2 linked regions of the Neodiprion lecontei genome follow. The protein of the gene in region 1 interacts with the protein of each later gene in a pairwise test. Links are inferred from orthologs where the notes say so. Each region holds a gene or a part of one and is shown in the gene's direction. Other genes may lie near its edges.

The links.
Region 2: the proteins of cyclin-dependent kinase 14 (region 1) and cyclin-Y-like protein 1 interact in a two-hybrid assay, tested with the Drosophila melanogaster proteins (2 studies listed by BioGRID). The link is inferred for Neodiprion lecontei from reciprocal best matches to the Drosophila melanogaster genes Eip63E and CycY.

What each region holds. Positions count from the first base shown.
Region 1 is NC_060264.1:29,029,364-29,040,344, forward strand, and holds cyclin-dependent kinase 14, read left to right. Parts: upstream 1-3,610; 5' UTR 3,611-4,477; coding exon 4,478-4,523; intron 4,524-4,741; exon of another isoform or gene 4,742-5,360; intron 5,361-5,436; coding exon 5,437-5,526; intron 5,527-6,026; coding exon 6,027-6,158; intron 6,159-7,248; coding exon 7,249-7,445; intron 7,446-7,522; coding exon 7,523-7,908; intron 7,909-8,524; coding exon 8,525-9,069; intron 9,070-9,412; coding exon 9,413-9,483; 3' UTR 9,484-9,786; downstream 9,787-10,981. Other genes in the region: thioredoxin, mitochondrial, read right to left, coding at 114-283; adenosine 3'-phospho 5'-phosphosulfate transporter 2, read right to left, coding at 1,207-1,551, 1,641-1,997, 2,271-2,486, 2,557-2,730.
Region 2 is NC_060261.1:13,526,338-13,537,550, reverse strand, and holds cyclin-Y-like protein 1, read left to right. Parts: upstream 1-3,305; 5' UTR 3,306-4,201; coding exon 4,202-4,433; intron 4,434-4,504; coding exon 4,505-4,725; intron 4,726-4,817; coding exon 4,818-5,104; intron 5,105-6,870; coding exon 6,871-7,159; 3' UTR 7,160-9,438; downstream 9,439-11,213. Other genes in the region: ras-related protein Rab-5B, read right to left, coding at 10,371-10,483, 10,605-10,821.

The sequences.
Region 1 (10,981 bases):
TTCTTAGTCGAATTCCCTGATTTCTAGACTCTCAAGGTTTAAACGACCTTGATTTTTAATGCTTCCATAACCTAAAACCCAGGGAAGACATGAGACTGTCCTGAGGGACTTACGTCGCGAAGAAGTCGATGATCACCGGGATTTTCGAGTTCTTAACGCGGTCGTTGAAATCCTTTGGATCTTGAACAGTGAAAGCAGCCTGAACGGCGGGTTCTTGAGCCGGAGCATTTGCAAAGCCTCGTTTGACAGCGTTACACAAGATCCTGGTTCCACCGCGTAGCATGTTTTAGCCTAGAAATAAAATATGATGTGACGATCAACTTAGTATGCGATTAATTGATAATGGCAGGTGATCGCTGCCAAGTATTCTATCGAGTAATTTGAAATGTATCGGTATTTGTCTACGAGACGCATCAAATCACCTGAGTTCTTGATTGAATCTGAACGATGAATAATGCGATTTGCGGGTTGGATCCCTGACACTGCTACCAACATTTCGCCATCGTGAAAATAAAGTAATTTCTTACGTAACCATTTTTGAAGTTTGGAGGAAATTCTACTGTTAATTTAAAAAAAAAAGAAGCTTTAGATTAAACAAATAATCGAGAAGTACGCCGTCCTGGAATAAATATTTTCCTTAATTTGTTCATTAATATTTAGGTATATCTATAGAATTTTGTTACTTGAACATTTGTTTTTATTTTAATTGTATATCTATAAGTTATATTCTTATTGAAATTTGATTATGTAAGCACGTGGAATAGTTCGAGATTTTTTATCATCCAACGAGCGGCAGGGTGGCGGGAAGACGGGTGAGGCCGCAACCGTCCGCTTGCTAACTTGGGGTTCCGAATATTCTTATAAATCACATACTAAATACGAAACACGGACTTCGAAATTTTCTTTTCCATTCCATTTTCATTCTTGATAATACCGGAATTATTTCTCTGGAAATTACTGAAATCTTAGCTTATATATATATATATATATATACACACGCACACACACACACACATATATACCTATATATAGCTGGTCTTGTAATCTCTAATAAATAAAATAATCTACTTTAATCGAGTCTTCGGATTTGCAGGAATTTGGAGAAGCAAGGAATTGAAAAAAGTAAAAATAATTTGACTGAGCAATAATAATTATAATTCATAATAGGAACAAAAAACTTTGTTTGCCTCGTTACTGGTAGGAATATTAAACATTAGTCAGTAATCGTCTTTGTATTCGGTTGTGCTTAATCCAACACTGCTTAAGTCCTATCCATAATTCTCTAAAGCCACCTTTAGTCCCTCCTCGTTTCTTGCTGTAAATATTCAAGTAGATTCCAAGAACGACGATCAGGCCAGACCACACATATTGGAAGGTGAATGGTTTGTAAAAGAACATAAAGCTAATCAAAATCGATATCGCTTTTCTGCATGTCGTAACAGTTGCTGCAACGAATGCTCCGCAGCATTGGACCAGAGTCAAAACAATCTGTATACCCAAGTAACCGGACAGTGAAAAGAGCAGGCCAAGTCCATACGTTTCAATAGGATGCTGAAACAAGTAATAATATATATAAAAATGAACCAAAAAGAGTAACAACATCCACAACAATCTTTAAATTGGGTTGAATGTTTTTTTACCTCGGCACAGAAAGAAGCACCCGTCTGTAGGTCGGATATTGTCAACAGTATCAGGAATAAGTAGACGAATCCAATGCTGTATGAGAATAGGACAACCTCAGTGTTCGACGCCTTGTGCTCGCGCATGGCCTTCTCCTGAATGTTTCCTATAGCCGCATCACATAACAGGGCGCAACTGATCATCATGATGCCGACTGGATCGAATCGAGGGGAAATTATACTGTCGGCAACTGTGAAGAGCGCTAAGCCTATGCACATCAGAATTGCAGCGAGAAAATCCAAGGGGCCGTATTTTTTGCCCTGTATCAAGATACTGCCTATTAGGACTGGGACTAGCTTGCAGCATTTGAATATCACCTAAAGGACATAATTCACAAACGTTTTATAAAGTTAATTGTTATTTGCTTTGCAATCACAAAATTGTTAGATGATTATTTCTCTCAAAAAATAGTCAAATATGCCAATATTCGATAAAACATTTGATACAATATTTCACTGAAAAAAGAGTTACTATTATCATAAATTCTTTCAGCAGTTGAGTTCAACTTGAGTGAAGCTAAATAGTGGACATGCAATTGCAACCGAGGAAAAGAATTACTGGCTGTCAGTCAATCTTGCATTAATTTTTACCTGTGTCGGATAATTCAAATATCCTAATGAGGAATTAGAGAATCCCATAGTGCCAAGGGTAAGGAGAGCAAGTAGTAAATAAGTGCCCAAAGGTATTCTTCGAGTGACTCCTTTTATCCGACATTCGATCCATCCAAAAATTGTATAATATCCAAATTGGATGAGAGTGAGGTACCAACCGAACGGTTGGAATCCATCGAGGGTAAATATCCGCTCCTGTGAAGTATGAAAATTGTATCAAAAGGTACTAACCCATATTATGCATTTTGTGAAAATAGTTTGTTACCTGTAAATATCCGTATAAAAGATAAAAAACGAAAACCCCAGTGGTGCACCATAGAAGTTGGGCCTTCTGGCTAGCGTTAGTTAAATCAAAGCACAAAATTTTGATCTCCCTTTTATCGCCCTGTTTTCTTAGGCTACTGTTCAAATTCTCTATGTGTACGGTTTTAAAATCCATTGCAATGAGCGGGTATCAAGTTGCCGTATACGAGCGTGTGACACTTCGTGGCAACGTCAAAGAGAGCTGTTCAAGAGATTCTCAGATTTTAATCAACTGAACGTCAAGCGTGTTCATATTTTTCGTCAACACTTGAACCGATTGTTTGCTTTTAACAAGAGCATTCATAACTCGCTGACACGTGTTACGTATGTGTGTATAATACGCTGTATTTACATAATTTACAAATGTAATTTACATAATTTCCATTCCCTATTATTTTGACAGTTGTACCGTAGCGCACATACAAATGTTGCACGTCGCACAGATCCGCCGCCGCTCCACGCCGCTCATCGCTTCCGCATACCCTTCGATTAGGTGGAAATGTGAGCTAAGGTCGTAGGCAAAATTCGCGGAGTCTCTATCCTTTTTTACGGACTTACGATAGAAAAGGACACGCATGCATCTGGCAAATTACCCTAGCGTTCAATACTCGTTGAATGCGATTAGTTTGCCAATGCATTAGGTGACAATAATATACTTGCCAATTTTTTTGAAACGTTGAAAAGGTACAGGCGTTGAGTTTCTGGTTCACCGAATAATTAATATGTTGAAACTGTTGGGTATTCTAAAACAGGGCGTAACTTCCAGAAGTTTTGACGTATTCTAAGTTTGAAAACGATCCAAATATGCAAAAAATAATTAAAAACATAGTGTACAAACTTCTGAATTACCGACCGGCACTTCGTCTGGAAGATGGAATCAAATATTGCCTAGAGTTAACTCTTCTCCGTAGTATAGGTCCCGGGTGATTCAGGGCTGCCAACGTGAGCAAAGAAAATCATGATTGAAAGATATTATGGTAGTCAACTCTCTTATATTCATATTCAACGGTGCCACGGAGCGCTCGAGTAGTATAAGCTGTCGAGTGAAGTTTGCTCCTTCTTCGATATCGTTATTCACGGGTCGAAATTTTTTTACGGAGTTAAAAGTCATATTTACAAGGGATTAACATTAGTCATTTAAATTAACATCAGGTATTCGAGTGTGAAGAGAAGGCGGGAAGGAGGTAATTCGTCGGTGTAATGTGCGTGCAAGTTTTCGGCTAACGACGGATAGGTTAAAACAGAGCGTATACTAGAAATATTTTTTCGCTACTGCTTCTTCTTAAGAAAAGTTTCGGGTTTTTAAACGATTGCACTTTGAGGTGGTAACAGTGCGATGCAGGGGGCAGTCGCTCGGTCAGTTTTGTACTTTTCTGTTGTGTAGCCACACGGCACCCACGGCACACATCACAACCGCTCGGGAGAATCGACAGAAGCTGGGGTCAGCTTCGTGTTCGAGATATCAAGTCCAATGATCGTTCACTCGAGATAGCAGTTAATTCTCGAGCGTGGGACAGTAGAAGATCCGCGAATATCCGTGCTTAACGGATTATACCAGAAAGAAAGGAGTCGGGAAGGAAGGAGAGAGAGAGAGACAGAGTGAGAGAAAGAAAAGGGAGAATTTCCTTGCTAAGAAAAAAGTAATATGTAACAATAATCAGTCTCGATAAAAAGTGTCCGTCCTTTGACATCGCGAGTGTGTGAACGTCGTGAGAAAATAGAATGAAGTAAAGCAAAGTAAATCAGCTAAGCCGGAGAGAGGAAATTTTAATGGCGATCGGTTTAACGTGTTGTGACTTTTTACCAAATTTCAACATCGGCTCAATTCGTCGGTGAGAATCGGAACCTGATGTGTCCCCACCCATGTTTGTGAATGAATAATCATGTACTGTCAAGATAAGGGCTCAGTCGCCTCGAAAAGCAAAGAAGGTAAGTCTACCGCACTTGGCGAACCTTGCCGACGAGCACGACCGAGTTTCCTGCAATTTTCCCGGCTGCGATAGTCGTGTGTTGTTTGTTTTTTTTTTTTTCTGTATTGTTTTCTCGATATATTCTTCTTCGATCGTTATTTACCGTCCCGCTAATCTGCTAAAATCAACGGTTAATTTCTTTTTTTTTTTTATACCTCCTTGCCCTTTGTCCGTCACCGACAACGGCAACGAGCGAAAGGCCGGGAGGGGGGAAAACAGAACTAGACGGACGTCAAGTGCCCCGTAAAATGCGGGGGTGGATGACTGGACTAGGTGACTGGACTTGAGAAGGAGACAGCCGGCCAGCCAGGGCATTTCTCGAATACCTTTAAACTCACGCGAACCTTAACAAGATCCGTAAAAAAACATTTGCCGTCGCTCGATTGACTAGACGTCAAAAGGACGCCGTCGCTTCTCGCGTGTGTTTTTCTACTCACACATAAAATTTCAATGCGACAGACTTGATCGCGTTCTGTCATCTCGTAGTATCGAATACCGATTGATTGTTAGAGGAACAAATCTCTAACGTGACAATTGATTTATTAAACTTTGCTTGGCATGATACAGGCTAATTTTCATAATTCATATCACCTACGATTTATTGTCGAGCACTAAATTGGACTGGACTATTCAGCTCTCTTAACGTTATCAAGATTGAGGGCAGGGGCGGGGGGAAGAGCACTGGCATGCCGTTTGTGCAAGTGGTGAATGACGTCACTGTGTATAGTGAATGCTTGTGTGATGGTCAAGCGGTACGATGAGTCGTTCATATGACGTAGTTCTCTGTCATTTCTCGGTATGCGTGCTATAATTTACATTCTGTATTCTTACGATACAGTTGCTTATTACAATTAATTATTAATCGTATCTAGGTTCTGTGACGATGCGCGAAAAGAAGGGAGGCGCCTTAAGCAGAGTCCAAAAGCTCAAGAAACGCCTTAGCCATAGTTTTGGCAGACTTTGTAAGTACCGTTTTATGACTCTTATCGATATGACTAATGTCACACTTCGTATGCACACTCCTTAACCAGCGCCACTTCCTATTTTGAAATTAGTTCCAATGAATTTTATTGTTAAATTATTCCTTTTACAGATTGACGTGCGTCAAATATATAATAAAACATGGAAAGGTCTGATACAAGAATAAATGCTGCCTCAGAAGTAGAATTCTTTGATAGGTTGAATATTGTTTTGCTACCATATCAGTTATATCATGATTAGTTTCCTGTGGATTGTTTTAACAGTAAATAAAGTGTAAACTGATAAGGAAAGAGGCAAGTACGCGGTCTTACCATACTTGGTAAATCTAATAATCCCGGCAATAGCAAATATTCATAAGCAGGGTAGGCGGAAGTGGCCAATTGGAGCATAAGGAGTTAAAAACAAATATAAGTGTATTGTAAGAATTTTGTGGACAGAAATGTTACCCAGTTATTATGTTTCATCATCTTTTTACTTCCAGCAATATCTAAGGAAGAAGCAGACGATGTTGCCACAAGGGAACACCAGTTACCGTATAACGGGTATTCAGAAGAATTTCTCGATCGTTTAGAGCCAAATGGTAACATACCTACCGACAAAGATCGACGATATGGTTAGTAAAGTTTTAAAAATTTGAAAAATTTGCATAAAAATGATCTGCAAAACAAATTTCACTTGTAACATTCAAGGGATTTTCATTTTCTTATATTACTTTGTTTGATCATTTACTGTTAGAGGCATAAAAAATTATTTCTGTTGTACTGCCAGACACGCAAAATTCAAGTAGAATACAGATCGATTCTCATCATGATGTTTGTATCTCCAACAAACGTGTGGATAATCGTACACACATCACGGCTTGTATCTCATCACGTTGTCGATGTTATCAATCACTTGTATTGAGTAAAATGTTGGACGTCATTTCACATTTAGCATACCTGTGAAACTTCTATCGTTATTCTATTCAATTATAAAATAACACTATGGTCATTGTAATATGAACTTGAAAGCTTCAACGTAAATGCTTATGACGCAGTCATAATAGCTGCAAACAAATTCTCATAACATGTCTGGTAAAATTACCAAGTCACTCGATAACAGCGTGTGCATCTTTATATTGGTTGATATCAGACAAGGTGTTAAAATTCTGTTACCACAAGTGTTTTTAGCTATAGCTAGGTAGATACATACATACATACATACATGCGCTGGAGCTGATTTAGAGTTGAGTCAAACTGTTAACTAACGTGATAATTTTCGTTAAACATGCTTAATTATATTTTCGATTGCTTCATTACTATACGGCAAAGACAAGACACGTTCGTATTAATACACGCATGCTAAATACCCGCTTTTTAAAAATAATACCTATTTACCATTGCTGTATACAAATGATAAGAAGCGGGTCATAAAGAAGGGCTATACAATCTACAAATAGAAATATCTGTTTCGCAGAATATGCAACATATTATTTTCTTTTACTCAGTTGCCTTGTGGTAGATCGCAGATATATAAATATAAATAGATATATATATGTATATATATATATATATCTATTTACAATGTCAACTAGTCAAACAGAGCAAGTAGAATAAAATGAAATATTTCGTCACATTAAGTCTTTGTCTTCTTTTCTCTAAGTTTGGTTAGCGATGAAAACGAAAACCTGTTGGGCTAATTAAAAATTATTTTCAATGTTGCAGAGTGGGCGGGTGTCGGTGAACACGAGAGAGTGCATCGACAGCTCTCTGTTTCTAGTGATTCTAAGCTCCTCGATGTAGATATAAGGGAAGAGGCAAGGGTGGTTCTACGGAATCGACGTCCTCCTCGTCCAAAATCCGAGGTTTTCCTAGGGCCCGACCCTCCCCCGAGACGGGCAAAACGTTTCTCTGCATTCGGGGTAAGTTGTATCACCTGTTGTCAATAACTTCGATGAAACTGTTTATTCGAAACCTTAAATATTCTTCATGTTCACAGGGAGATTCGCCGTTTGGTAAATCAGATGCCTACATCAAACTGGAGCAGCTTGGAGAGGGTTCTTATGCTACAGTATTCAAAGGGTACAGTAATCTGACAAACCAGGTTGTCGCTCTTAAAGAGATTAGACTACAGGAAGAGGAAGGTGCACCTTTCACTGCCATTCGTGAGGCCAGCCTTTTAAAGGAGCTCAAACACAGCAATATAGTTACACTCCATGATATTGTTCACACTCGTGAAACTCTTACTTTTGTATTCGAATTCGTTCACACCGACTTGTCACAGTACATGGAGAGGCACGGCAGCGGAGGAGGGGGCCTTGATCCGCGAAACGTTCGGTTGTTCCTATTTCAACTACTCAGAGGACTAGCTTATTGTCATCGCAGGTGAGTTCTTGCATTCTCTGTTAGAGAAGAGTTTTGATTTAACGAACAGATTTTACTTTCTCACAGGGAAAATGAATTTCATACTTTGCAAAGCAAGTAGATTGCTTTACATAGTGATTCAGGGTATCGATGAATTGTGCAAATTATTAACGGGAGAGAAAAATGTGGGAAAAAAATTAGAATTTGTACTTCGCAACAATATTCCAGTATCTTATCTATTGCGTAGTCTCGATTGATTTAAAATATATGAGATTTCTAGAAATGAAAACTTCATACAACTGATAATGACGTATGTTATTAGGTCAAGCTAGATATTCGGTGGATAAATAGTATTTTACATTTACGATTTTTGTATTTTGACTGAGTACAGAATTAAAAAAGAACCTGAATCCGTTCCCTGCTTTTAAACGTTTTTGTTGTGGTATAATAATACCAATTTTGTCGCATACGTCTACTTGAGTACAGGATAATAAATGTCTTGGAAGAATTAAATTTTCCGCTTAGAAAATCTGGAATTTCCAAGGGTATATCCCAGCATGATATTACAGTCAATATCCTGTACACGAATACAACAAAGAAAACAAATGTGACTAATGTTCATAATAACAAATTACAGAAGAGTACTGCACCGTGACGTGAAACCCCAAAACCTGTTGATAAGTGAAATAGGCGAATTGAAATTGGCGGATTTTGGTCTGGCTCGGGCAAAGTCAGTACCGTCGCATACCTATTCACATGAGGTTGTGACGCTGTGGTACAGGCCGCCAGATGTGCTGCTCGGTTCGACGGAGTACTCGACTTCATTGGACATGTGGGGCGTTGGATGCATATTTGTAGAAATGTTGACAGGGCTGCCGACTTTCCCAGGTGTCCGAGATACTTATGATCAACTCGATAAGATATTCAGAGTTCTTGGAACACCGACCGAAGATAGTTGGCCAGGCGTCACACATCTACGTGGATACCAAGCCCACAAACTAGCATTTTATCCATTGCAAAAATTGGGACTTTCCTTTCCCAGGCTGTACGATGTTCCTGAAGGTGATAATATGGCCTCCGCACTTTTACAGCTAAATCCAGATGATCGGATAGGCGCTGATGACGCTCTTAGGCATCCTTATTTTGCGACACTTCCGCCAAAACTTTACGAGTTGCCTGACGGTAAGTTGGTCCTTGTTTCCTGAGGTGGATTTTTCAGTTTGTCAATCTATAAAGAGGTAGTTTTTACCCCTAAACTTGAAGTTCAAAATGAAATTTAAACACATGTTATGCAAAATTCTTATTCCCGAAACATTTATCTGAATTTGCAAGATGAATCAATACTTTCTGTCCTTTATAACAACAGAATGGATATGTAAAATAGGCAAAATCTCCCTGGGTAATATTTAGGTGTCTAAATTTCGTAATAAAGAGGGTAGAGTACCCTGTGAGAAAACTTGATTTTGTCGGCAAGTTGGATATATTCATTTATTTTGATGGTAAAAAACTCTCTTCTTTCTTACAGAAGTGTCCATATTTAGTGTCGAGGGCTGCCATTTATTCACGGAATCGCGGCACTCTGCTCTGAAGACTTGAGACTAGCATAATTGTTGAGTTGTAACAGAGAAAAATATAAGAAGAAATTAGGAGAAGTAATGGCCAATCTACAAGTTCAGAAATATAGGCACCAGTGCGTTGCCTGCTCTCTCTATATCTCTCTCTCTCTGCCTCTTTTAGGGCCACTCGACTTCCAACATACCACAAATCGATGATGGTTTTTTTCTGAGAACAATTATTGCAATCAAATGATAAATGAATCGATGAAAAAAAACCAGTCTGAAGAATACGTATATAAAAAAAAAAAAGCTAACGAAAAAGAACCCTAAGTTTTAACGTAAAGTAAAAGTGAAGGGAAACGAAAACATAAAATAGAAAATTACCTACTACCTACACTACATAAAGGAAATTTCTTTCTCGAAAAAAAAATACTTAAACAATGAAAAGAAAAAAGAATACTAAATTTATAGTGTCAGAAATGCACGCTGAATTTAGAAAGCAAAGCACGCACGACCCATCCTCGCACTTCGTCCAAATACTAGCTTTAGACTGACACCAATCAAAAGTAAAGCCTGTCGTCCCATGTCCCATCAATTTGAACCATCCAAGGCCATGGGGATGGCGGCAATTGACTAGCGAGAATATAATTAAATAAATGATTAAATAAATAAAATTAAATGAATAATTATAACGATATTAGGAAGACCCTAGAGGATTTGTAACGCTTTTTGGGCCAGACAAACCACCTTTGTTACTCTGATCAATTATTTCTATCGTAGGAACCGGGTAATAAGTAAGAGGTGATTGTAGTGGCTATGTGTCAATATTATTAAGTACTAACATACATGCATACACACATTCATAAATACAGAGCCAAGGAAAGTGTTACACGTCTTCTAAATTTTATCTAAGTTACGATATCGACGGATTATTATCGATTAATACGGCGATACATATACTATTATACCTACTCCCTACCCTCCCTTAGTAGTTTATATTTATACCGATTTGCAGCACACTTTGATAAAAAATATCAACGAGAGAAAGACGATGGTGGTGATGATGATGATGATGATGATGATGATTATGATGATTATGATAAGATGATGAGATGATTATGATAATGATGGTGATGATGAAAATGCAAGAATAAGAAATGAGTAACTTGCTGAATAAACAGAAAAATAATATTGAACAAAAGGATTGAACATTATTATGATTACTATTGTCATTAACAACAGCAGACGCGTAAGGTAGAATGTATATAGAACTCCAAGTTTATATTATTCATGACACTGAAATAGCTGAGCTAAACTAATAAATGTGACTTTGTAATAAATTGTAACACACACATCAATCCTTGATCCTATGATCAAATACTGAGCTTTCGCATCTCTTACAAACATTTTCTATAATAAATCAGGTATTGGTAACTTCCCTTATAATTATTACAGAACAACATTACAGTAAATGTTGTGAGAAAACGATTGTTAAAGAAAAAGAAGATAACACATCTATTTGTGGATATGAAGAAAAA
Region 2 (11,213 bases), on another chromosome or scaffold:
GTTGGTGATTCAGGTAGTAATACACGGCTTTATGGCCTCGTCGCGCAGGTACGAATGAATCGTTTCTTAGCATTTTCTTCTCCTTCTGCACCAATACGAAAGTTCGTTTGGTGCTGAGCCCCCGGCCACTTCATGGCCAACGATGGTGGTACAATATAAGCGTACAGGCAGCTGTGCTTACATTAAGAAACCCACCCACAGCATCGTGTCTTTGCGGAACACAAAAAAAAAAAAAAAAAGAAATAATACTAAGACGTTGAGTGGAAATTTGTTTCATCTACTTTTAACCCATTTCATTAATTCTATTCTACTTTGTGAGATAACAAATGTACACTATTGACAAGCAACGAGCGATTCAATTAATCAACGATTTTGGAATTCGCTGTTATTGTTATTATCACGTCATTGCATATTATTTGGTAGGCATTCACGTGGGCTCAATGAAATTCTCATATCGGCCTACATTGTTGTGGGCGGTCATCTCTCCTCTGCAGTTTAATACGTATAAATATGTATAGTTATACGCCGTTTTACAATTAGCCTAATTTTCTACATCATAGTATGTTATGTACACACGCGTAACTACAAGTTAGGTACTTTTGACTGACGATGAGTAGGTAAACACCGAGTTTCAAAAGTGTCACTATCTCTAGATATTTGTCGAATTACTGGCATATTTCTGTTTACCGTTAATGTGTGAGGTTTTATTATGTGTATGACTATATTATGTCACAATATATATTGAAAATGATATTGTGTCTTCATGAAAATACAGCATTAAATTATAATTTATCTATTTTACACAGACAAGACTTACGTAAGGACTACCTGTTGACTAATTTTTCTATATCCATCTCACGATGCTATTATTTAACAGAGCAAAAATTGTACGTTTCAAAAATATCTCTATAGAAATAAACAACAACAGATTCGAAGCTTTTATCATTGATTGTTATCAGTATTTTACTGAAACATCCTGTACGTTGGTGAATTATCTAATCTTCGCGTGAGTTGAATGCTGGAATAGGCACTACGGTTCCCAAGGCCGCGTTTAACTTAGCCATCGTCGAAATCTCCATACACTATACTGGTTGGAAAGAGATCACTGAAATCGCTGAAAGAGATGCCTTGTAAGCAGCTCAAAAAAGGTAATCGTCATTTAGAAGTTTTTCGAATCTGTGTAGGGTTGGGCGTAAATATACACATAATAAACGTCGCTGGTGCTTCATACAAAAATGCAAGCAAACAGATTATTCAAAATCATGAGATATCAATGACTTAAAACTTAATTTACGTTTCCCATTTTCTGAGTGATATATATTTTATGGAAAGCTCGCACAAATATTTCGAAAAGTTATGATATTATAGAAGTTTCTTATTATCATATCTTCTAATCTTCAACTAAAAATTAGTTCTCAGAATTTTCGAAACCATTCAAAATACAATAAAGTTTTATTTAACATTAATTTAAATTTTTTGTGGTTCTGAATTGTGCCCAACTTAGAGGTACTCTGTGTCTCCTACGTCAGAAATTTTTGATTATGCTGCTTGCTCTCTTATCGTTAGCTTAACAATGGCAAGTTAATAGAAACAAGGTCAGTGCGCATGCGCTTTCATCCCTGACTCAATAGCTCTCTCTTCGAAGCGGAGCCGATCTTTTTCGGACAAACTGAAAAGTTAGACCAGTTAGACCTTGCAGATTGACACAAAATATTTGAATGGAAGCAGTTTGGAAAAAATGTTCCAGTAAATTCAACTGATGGAATTTGATTCATAAATGAAACAGAATATTCTAGTGTACGGATTTTACCTTACTTCAAATTTTTTAACTAGAAGGATGATAAAAATTAAAGAAATTAATTAACTATCGATGCAAAGAAAATTATTTATTAATGATTATATGGATAAAATATACTTCATTAATTCTGACTCGCGAACAAATGTAAGTTTCAATTATGGGTTCATTAGCAATATTCTTGATAATACGAGGAATAGAACAATTTATAGTACAAAATAGTATGTTTTAATATATTTAGTACGACATGCGACATGAGTACTGTTTTGCATCGCTTCCAGGAAGCGCTATATCACCTAAAATACGGCTTTATCAAAGGTTGACATGATTCACACGCAAGGTCTGATTATCAACAGCATTCTTTGAAGCTTTGTAATAGCTAACACGACCTTAAATCAAATGGAAATGCTATTGTTTATTTAGGAGTGTTACATAACTTATACGTAGAAGGCGTGTCACGTTCTGTTCACCACTTGAGTGTTTAATATTGCAGCTCATTGCAGTAAAATAAAGTAACATAGTTTTAAAGCAGTAAAAAGATATTATATGATAGACGTTATAAGTAACCAAAATCTCAGGAGTTCGGTTTATCAAAACTGTTCTATACTTGGTCTACACGCCAGACTTAACTTAGCCGACTAAACAACAAGCATACTTTGTTGCGTCTACACGCTGTACTTAAATATCGATAGATATCGGAATAATCGACTCCGAGAAGAAAAGGGTTTCATCATTACCGAAAACCTTCCTTTTCTTTCTGCCGTCGTTTATTGTTGTAGATCTAAAAAATGATTTAAAGTGATAATAGAAACATAACGGTGCACCATGCAACCATTTCTTATTCATCATTAGTGACCGGCTGAAAGCTAAACGAAATAAAGTTATAATACGATTACGAATATATGGAATCATGTATTTGAAGTGAATGGCAATTTTTTTTATCACTTACCTTTTTACAAATCAAAATTTACACTATTTTTTATCAGCTTCTTACCTTGGTAAATAATTATGATCGACCAATACTATTCATATCTATCGATATTACCAAGCATATCGGGGGCTTAATCAGGCTCTGAAATGAGTTTAACCTCCGCCGCGCGGCTATGAGTGCGCACGTCTACACGACAACTTCAGCCTGTCTGAACTTACCGAGTTAAACCGCGTGTGGACCAGGTACTACTTCCAGTAACTCATATAGTTAGACTCGATAGTTAGATACAGGTCCGCTTTATCGGTTCTTCGCTTTCGGATGTATTCCGAAATATACTTCCAGTACTGCCGACCGTGACGTCACGCAGTCAACTGCGAACTGCGTTCCATTTTTACTTCGAGTTGCCAGTCGCAGTAAAATCGGAACGCTACACCGAGGACGCGGCCATCTCTCAAGTACTGCAACTGCCTCACATCCCAGGCCGCAGAAGTCGCAGTCAACAATGTCACAAATTTCATGACGTCACTGACAGGCGGCAGTAAGCTGTCGCGCAATTTCGGTACGCGGTTGCTAGTACTTGCAGTACTGCGAGTATATTTCGGAATACACCCTTGATTATGACCCTCATCCGAGCGTTTTGATTGGTACAGAGTATATATTCACTGCGGAATAGCTGCCCAAATCCAATCAGATCATCTATTCAACACTTCGATAAAGGATGGCGGCGAAAATGGGAGTAACCGACCGGACTCTGTTCAACTCAACCAGTTAAAAATGCTATTAGACTATTCGTACAGCCGTCGAAGTTTCGCAGATAACAAACCTCTCCCCCCCGTGTCGAAATTGTGTATACAGACTGATTCGCATCCCCGCGGTTCATGAAAAGCGGTGTTTAATATTGTTCTAAGAGAACGTGTTTACTATGCGCAGTAAAATGATACTAGCGAGGATCCGATGAGGTACTCAACCTCAAAAATTGCCGGCAAGTGTTCGCAGCAGCGTTAGGCGTGTCACAGTTATTGGAGCCGTTTACAATTGGTTACATCTGTGTGTGTACACGATATATATACATATATTTTTTATATTGTAACTTCTGCTCGTTTCATCCAAAGTGTGCCAAACAGAAGTCTTGAGACAATTACCGGACTCAGTATCAATGAGCGTTGAATAAATAAGTTTTACGAGACTCGGTAAGTGGTCGCGATGAAAATCAACGGAATGTATTTTGTCGCCCGTGTCACCATCATCATCACCACGACCCGCATCAGCTGATCGTGTCAAATTGACATGTAGATTTAGTTTGTCAAATTATGTCTAATCCTTGTGCGCTACGAGCATTTACCTCCTCAATGTTTTCGTGAAGGGAGTGAAAAGAACGAGTAGAGAAAACGGTATAGAGAATAAGGAGATATTCGTGAGATCGTCGGTCGTCGAGATCGTCGTGAGATATTAAAAAATTAGAAAGCTATCAAGTTATGGGCAATAAGAATAGTTGCTGTGTTTACGCAAGCCCTCAAACAGGGCGGAAGGAATTAGGGCGTGAGTGCGGAGGCAGAGGGCTAGAGGAACATCTTCCAGAGGGTGAAATCAGTGCGAATAACTTGCAACATATAAGCGAGCGTGAACCAGAAGATTGGGACTCGGACCCATCGCTACATCCATGTGCAGGCACAATTTTTATGGAGCGATCTAAACAGGCAATTGAAAGTGAGTTTTATTTTTCTATAATTCTGTGTCAATCTGTACGTCGCTACACTGAATTGTTCTCAATTTTGCAGATGGAATGGTTAGGAAAAAAAGTCAGCACCAAATTGCTGACACAAGGACGTTGAAGAAAAGCAGCAGTTGTAGCACCATCTATCTTGATGATAGTACCGTTTCGCAACCCAATCTTAAAAATACCGTTAAATGTGTCGCGTTAGCTATATATTATCACATTAAGAATCGAACGTCGCAACGTCAAATCGACATATTCGATGAAAAACTTCACCCACTTACGGTGAAAGACAATGCTATGAGTACTTTTAATACAAGTACTAATCTATTTGGTTATTCAAATTGCAGGTGTGTTAACTGAATTTTGTGTTTCAGAGAGATGGTGTTTCTGAAGACTATCACAGACATAATCCAGAGCATAAGCAAATATACAAGTTTATTAGAACATTGTTTAATGCCGCTCAGCTCACAGCTGAATGTGCTATTATAACACTAGTTTATCTAGAACGGCTTCTCACTTATGCCGAAGTTGACATAACTCCTGCTAATTGGAAGCGAATCGCACTTGGTGCCATACTTTTATCTTCCAAGGTGTGGGATGATCAGGCAGTGTGGAACGTTGACTATTGTCAAATACTTAAAGATATCACTGTGGAAGACATGTACGTACTTATACCATCACATTACTCGATTCTAAATGCATAAATTCGTTTAATCTAGAAATCTGAAATATCACATCGCAAAATACAATACTTGTGTGCATATTAGGGGTAAAAATATAGAAGGATCAGAAAATAGAAGGTTTATAATATCAAATTTTAAAGGAAGCAAAAGGCATTTTTTTCGCACTAAGAAATAGAATAGAAAAAATGCATTAAATTCTAGAAGTTGACTGATCTGCTTCACATGGAATAACAGGAAAGTTTCTCTTTAATGTTTTGGCCCACGCATACATGTATAGAATACATGGATGTATATTTCCCATTTAATAACTCATCGAAGTCTTGTGTGGTTAAATTTAATGCACAGTAAAACACTACAATCCAAATTGTTGAAAGAAAACATTGAAAGTTTCAAGTTAGAATCACTCTGTAGGTGATGTGAGCCACTTAAGTTACCTTAGCGTGACTTGCAGATTTTGCTGAATCTTCGCATACTAATAGAGCAGTTATAAATAATATAGTATATATTTTTTCGTGTTGGCAATGGTTCAGCTTTGAGGGTGAAACAGCCCCTATTATTTGTCAACTTGTGAAAGAATTGCCGAATAACTTGAAATTAAGGCATTGAAAAATAGTATATTGTATGCAGCTATGTTAACTCCAATATTCGACGTACGCGATCGTAGCACTTGCCTTCGATTCGTGCCGCCAACTTCACACTTTTTAGAAATTGTCCAGTTTTCACATTTGTAACACAAGATACTGTGTATGAGAGCTGTAATAACACGAGTCAGATATCGCGGATCTGCACATGCGACATACGTTATCTGTCGTAAGAGCTGTGAAAGGAAGTTAGATTTGAGAAACACCAAAGGTGCCACTCACAGTGCGTGAAATTGGGATCAGGTAATTTACACTCAATGACGCAGTGTGTAATATTGAATTATTTGAAAGAGCACATGCGCCAAAGAAAACCCTAGTATGTAAAACTGAACATCTCAGTTGTGTGCATATACCGTTGTCTTATCGCACTATTCGGAAATTAGGCACTTCAAGCAGCATGCTTCAAAGGCTTTGAAATCCGAACGTTCCAATCAGGTGGTGGAAAAAGAATTACATATGTTAGTTACAGGAATTGAAATAATATTTTTAGTTACAGGAACGCAAGATGAAATTTTACACACCCGTGTGTGAAATCTTACGTCCGTTTAACCCTTTCTGCCCTATCGGTGACTGTAGTCACCCAACGCCCGACGCTCGCTCTGTCCGAGCGGTGACTATAGTCACTCAATGCCTGACGCTCGCTCTGTACGAGCGGTGACCATGGTAACCCAACATTTGACGCTCGTTATGTACGAACGGTGACCATGGTAACCCAACATTATGTTATAATTTTTTAAGCATTTTTTTTACGAGCGACTGCACTAGCTCTGCGTAAGATAGCGTGGGATTGTGCGTCTGACGGGCGCTTGCAGTTGTTCCGCAAGTACGGACGCCTGCCGCGACTGCTCGATCAGCGGGGACGGCGCGACGTAGAATGCGTCCGTACCGAAAGGGTTAATGAACATCTGTTTTTGCACGAGTATGCATAAGTACGCGATTTTGTTTGTTTATTTTACCCTCTAAACTGAGCCATTGCCTGTATAAAAAAATATATGTCGAATCTTTGTGACTAGTCTACAAATATGACAAGTTTCAACAAAATCGATGAGTAACATTTGTCCATATATTCCCAAAATAAAACCAGCTTCTGAATTTTGTTGCAGGAACGAATTGGAAAGGCAGTTTCTGGAAATGCTACAATTTAATATAAATGTCCCTTCAAGCGTGTACGCAAAATACTACTTCGACCTCCGCACGCTTGCAGAGGCTAATGAACTAACATTCCCTAGTGAACCGCTTAGCAAAGAGAAGGCACAAAAGCTTGAGGCAATGTCCAGGGTATACGAAGACAAAGTAACGGCAGAAGTATTACGTAAGGGTATTAAAAAATGGTCCAGTTTGGACAATGTGTGTATAGGTGGACCGAGACGTAGCATTGCTATCCTTTCTTAAAACCATTATGGCATATAATGATGCTTCTACACTTACACTTTGGACGAATTAAGTGCGTACGTGGAAAAATGCTCAAACTGTCTCTCCTTCTCTCTCTCGACGTTTGTGGCGGTTAAATCTGCTTTGAACGAGTAACAATTTCACCCCAGTTACCTGAACCACTACCCAAATGCACTAAATTGGTTGTATAATTTATTCCCCATAGGCATATTCGATTAAGTTGCATTTGAAATATCGACTGAAACTCGTTAATCATTTTTCAGCGGCTCTAGATTCCGTTCTGAAGTGAATGTGTAGAATCTCCATTTATACAGCTTTTCAATCTTCCATCCATTGCAAACTATGTAGCAATTTTTCTTTTACTTCATGCTTCATCCTGCCACCAATATGATATGTAAGAGCTTATGCTCCTAGAAATAAAACAACATTGTGATATTCAACTGTCATAATAAGATTTAAAAAAAAAAAGGAAAAAAATATGTAACTCTAAGCATTTATATTATATTATCATTAGGAGAACTTATACTTGTTTTGTCGCAGATTTTAATCTAAAAGAAAAATGTAAATCTAATCGTATGCTTTGAACAAGCAAAGGTAGGTGACCAATAGAATAGTGTTATAAATTCAACAAGATCCTAATATAATCATCTGCACAGTTTTGGTGCTCTTCAAGGTATATTTTATAATTTGTGATATTAAATTTGGATAATCTTCAATGAGCCAAAGTAGCGGGAACCATTTTTGACAAGCAAACTTATAAACTTTTTGACGAAAACTCACATCAACGTCAGATTCTCCCTAAACTTAACACTGTTTTCTTTGTTAATTTCCCATATTTCTACACATTAATCTAATGAATTTACCCCCATCATGTGATGATCCTGTAAACTGCCATTTTATACATGTAATTTTTGTTCGTTTTCAATCAAATTGAATCATCAATCAGTGAATGTAATTGAATTCGTTATACATATTATACATTTGTCCCTTTGTAGGATACACCATCATTTTAATGGTCCACTATACGCATCATTCACATTGGATATATTACAACATTTTTTGAATTGGGATCACATCATGTTTTTATAGTATTAGTCAACGACGAATAAGAATGAGAAACCGTTGAAGGTTTAAACCTTGCATAACGGTTGAAAACAATTCCACATAAAAACTATTAGATGAAAGTTATAATTATATATGTAAATATATACATTTCTACTTTATTGTATTGGAAAGAAACGATTTCATATTGCTTGAAGTCTAGTAATAAAAATTAGTAATAAAAAATGTACCTGCCTGTATTTTAATATCACACCACAGTGTGTCATTCAACTTCGTATTTTATATTGTGAAAAAAATGAAAAATTCGAATATTCGTTTTACTGATCTAAGAAAGAAGTAAATATGTGCCGAATTATATGCATATATATCGACTCATGTTGAAAAATTACGAATAATATATACAATTATATACGCATTTCGTCTGTATGTAAGCATTTTATGGCAATCATGTACAACACTTATGTTTACAGAGCTGACGCCTATATAACTAGAGTATGACAGAATTTGCCCTAAGTGTTTTTTGTTTTACCTTGACTGTGAAAATAACGAGTGCTTCGAAGAAGAATTTGGAATACGTGAAAAATGAAAAAAAGGTAATTAGCTGAGAACCATATTGTTTATAATTAAGTGTAAAGTTTTAATAAATTATCCTCAGAGCTACATAATAGATATAATAGTAATAATAATTTTATATATGTATATGATAAAAAGCACACACGCATTGCAAAATCATTATATTCACAAGTTTATTTTCATCCTCGTATAATAATTCATAATTTATCATGATGTTTATCTTCTTCCAATCAAATTAATATACAATATATTTTATATCAATATTAGAATAGATAATAAGTGTTATATACGATACGATCTAATAAAGAAAGTTTTTTATAATAATATATTATATAGCAGCAGGAATGGCTCCCCACTATCTTACATGATTTTGCGTGCCCAAATCGTCGTCGGTGTTATTACCATTTATGTAATTATATTATTATTATTATTACTATTACTTATTACATGTATCATATCACCTATATGATTTATTATCATTATTATATAATGTATTTTATTTATATATATTTATATATTTATAACGAACACCACCCATTACTGCTAGTATTACGAATGGGAATTAAAACACCGCCTGCTTTCAAGCCTTAAACAACAATGCAGGATGTTGCTGAAAGTTGTAGTAGAGACCCGTGCTACGCTGATCGCTCGAGCAAAAATGTCTGTGTCTATACATCCCATTCTTTATAATTTAGTAGCATTTCCTCGTGTTTCTGTTTCTTTTTTTTTCTATCATCCCACTCATTTGCAGACACATTCACGCTGTGTGTTTGTTTATCTTTCCTGAATATGGTACATATCTGCAATTAGACATCAATCGTAGATTCCACGTATTCCATAACAATTTACCGATTACGAGACATTGAACAGTACCCGTTTATTTGTGAAAATACCGACAAGGACCGTAATATATACTGATAGATCTATTTTTCAGTAAAAACAATATTTCCGCCTACCGCAAATCCCCGTCGCAAATGGATAAAAAAAATTTGGATTTGAACGTTTTTGCCCTCTGCAAAACATGTTATATAGTAGTTCATAGGATGTTTGAAGAAAAAAAAGTTTACTCGATTAGATATGTTAATATTTAAGCAAGCTGGGAATTGTCCATTGAAACAACTGTACATAGAAGAATTAAAATTTTATTTGTAATAATGAAAACTTGACAGCTTACGAGGTGCTGCTGCAATATAAATGGTATATAAGGAGTACCATTTGAATACACTCATTACTTTTGAAGATTGATCGCTATCCATTTATAAATAATAGTCACTGTGGCGATAAATTCTTGACAACCTGTTTCACTATGCAATTCATTGAGATTTGACTGAGGATAATTTTACAAGTTTTTCAATTGGAGAGAAAGAAGCTTTGTTGTTACACGATTGAACAAGTTCAAATCCATCTTAATATAAGAATTATATTACAAAAATGTATCTAGTTAACATAAATGCAATGTACAAATAAATTTTCCGCTTGCTTTGTAGGATTCCAAGAGGCATTAAACCTAACAGCTACAACAAAAATATGTAACAAATTAATATTATCATACATTACACGTACTGTTTGTGAAAAATCACTTGCAGCAGTTGCTAGTGGTTGTCTTTTGTCCTTCTACTTCAACTAATCGACGACCTTGACCACTGGTACCTGCACTGCCGGTTTGTTCATTCTTTGGAAGCTTCTTAGCTGAAACATTTTGCAAAGCAGTCACTTGCAGGTTCGTCAATTTTCGTTGACTGTCAAAAAATGTCGATCTCGGTGGGAGATTAAATCAACTAATTTTTGGGTATATTAGAAATGAAATTACCGATAGCTAAGAATATATCGTTGACGTTCATGGCAGTTTTTGCAGACGTCTCCATGAACAGGAGACCGTTTTCATCTGCGTAAGTCTGGGCCTCGTCGAACTCGACGACTCTTTTGTTACCCAGATCAGACTTGTTACCTGCGAGTGCTATAACTATGTTTGGGCTCGCTTGCCGTTGAAGTTCCTTCACCCACGTTGTAGCACGTACGAATGTATCCTAATATTGATATAAAATTTAGTCAATTGGCATACCGAATCTTGTATTGAAAACCCATTGAATTAAAAGTAAACAGAATGTCAGATCTCCCTGTTTTACCCACGAATCCAGCAAATCATGTTTGACTGTTCTCCCCACTCCTGACCTACAAAATCTCTCTAAACTTAGGAAAATCATGGCGCATACGGTCAAAATTATCTTTCATGATTGGGGAAAGTTGACAAAAAATACTGTCAATATACTCGCAGCTGATTGTGACTCGCTTTGCAGTTACAGCACTCTGGACTCCAGAACTGAACACTTTATCATAGCGCAAATATAGTTTTCCAAAGTTTGAAGCGATCTTATCAACAAAGATAGAACTTGAAGGTCCGACATCCTCTTAATAAACA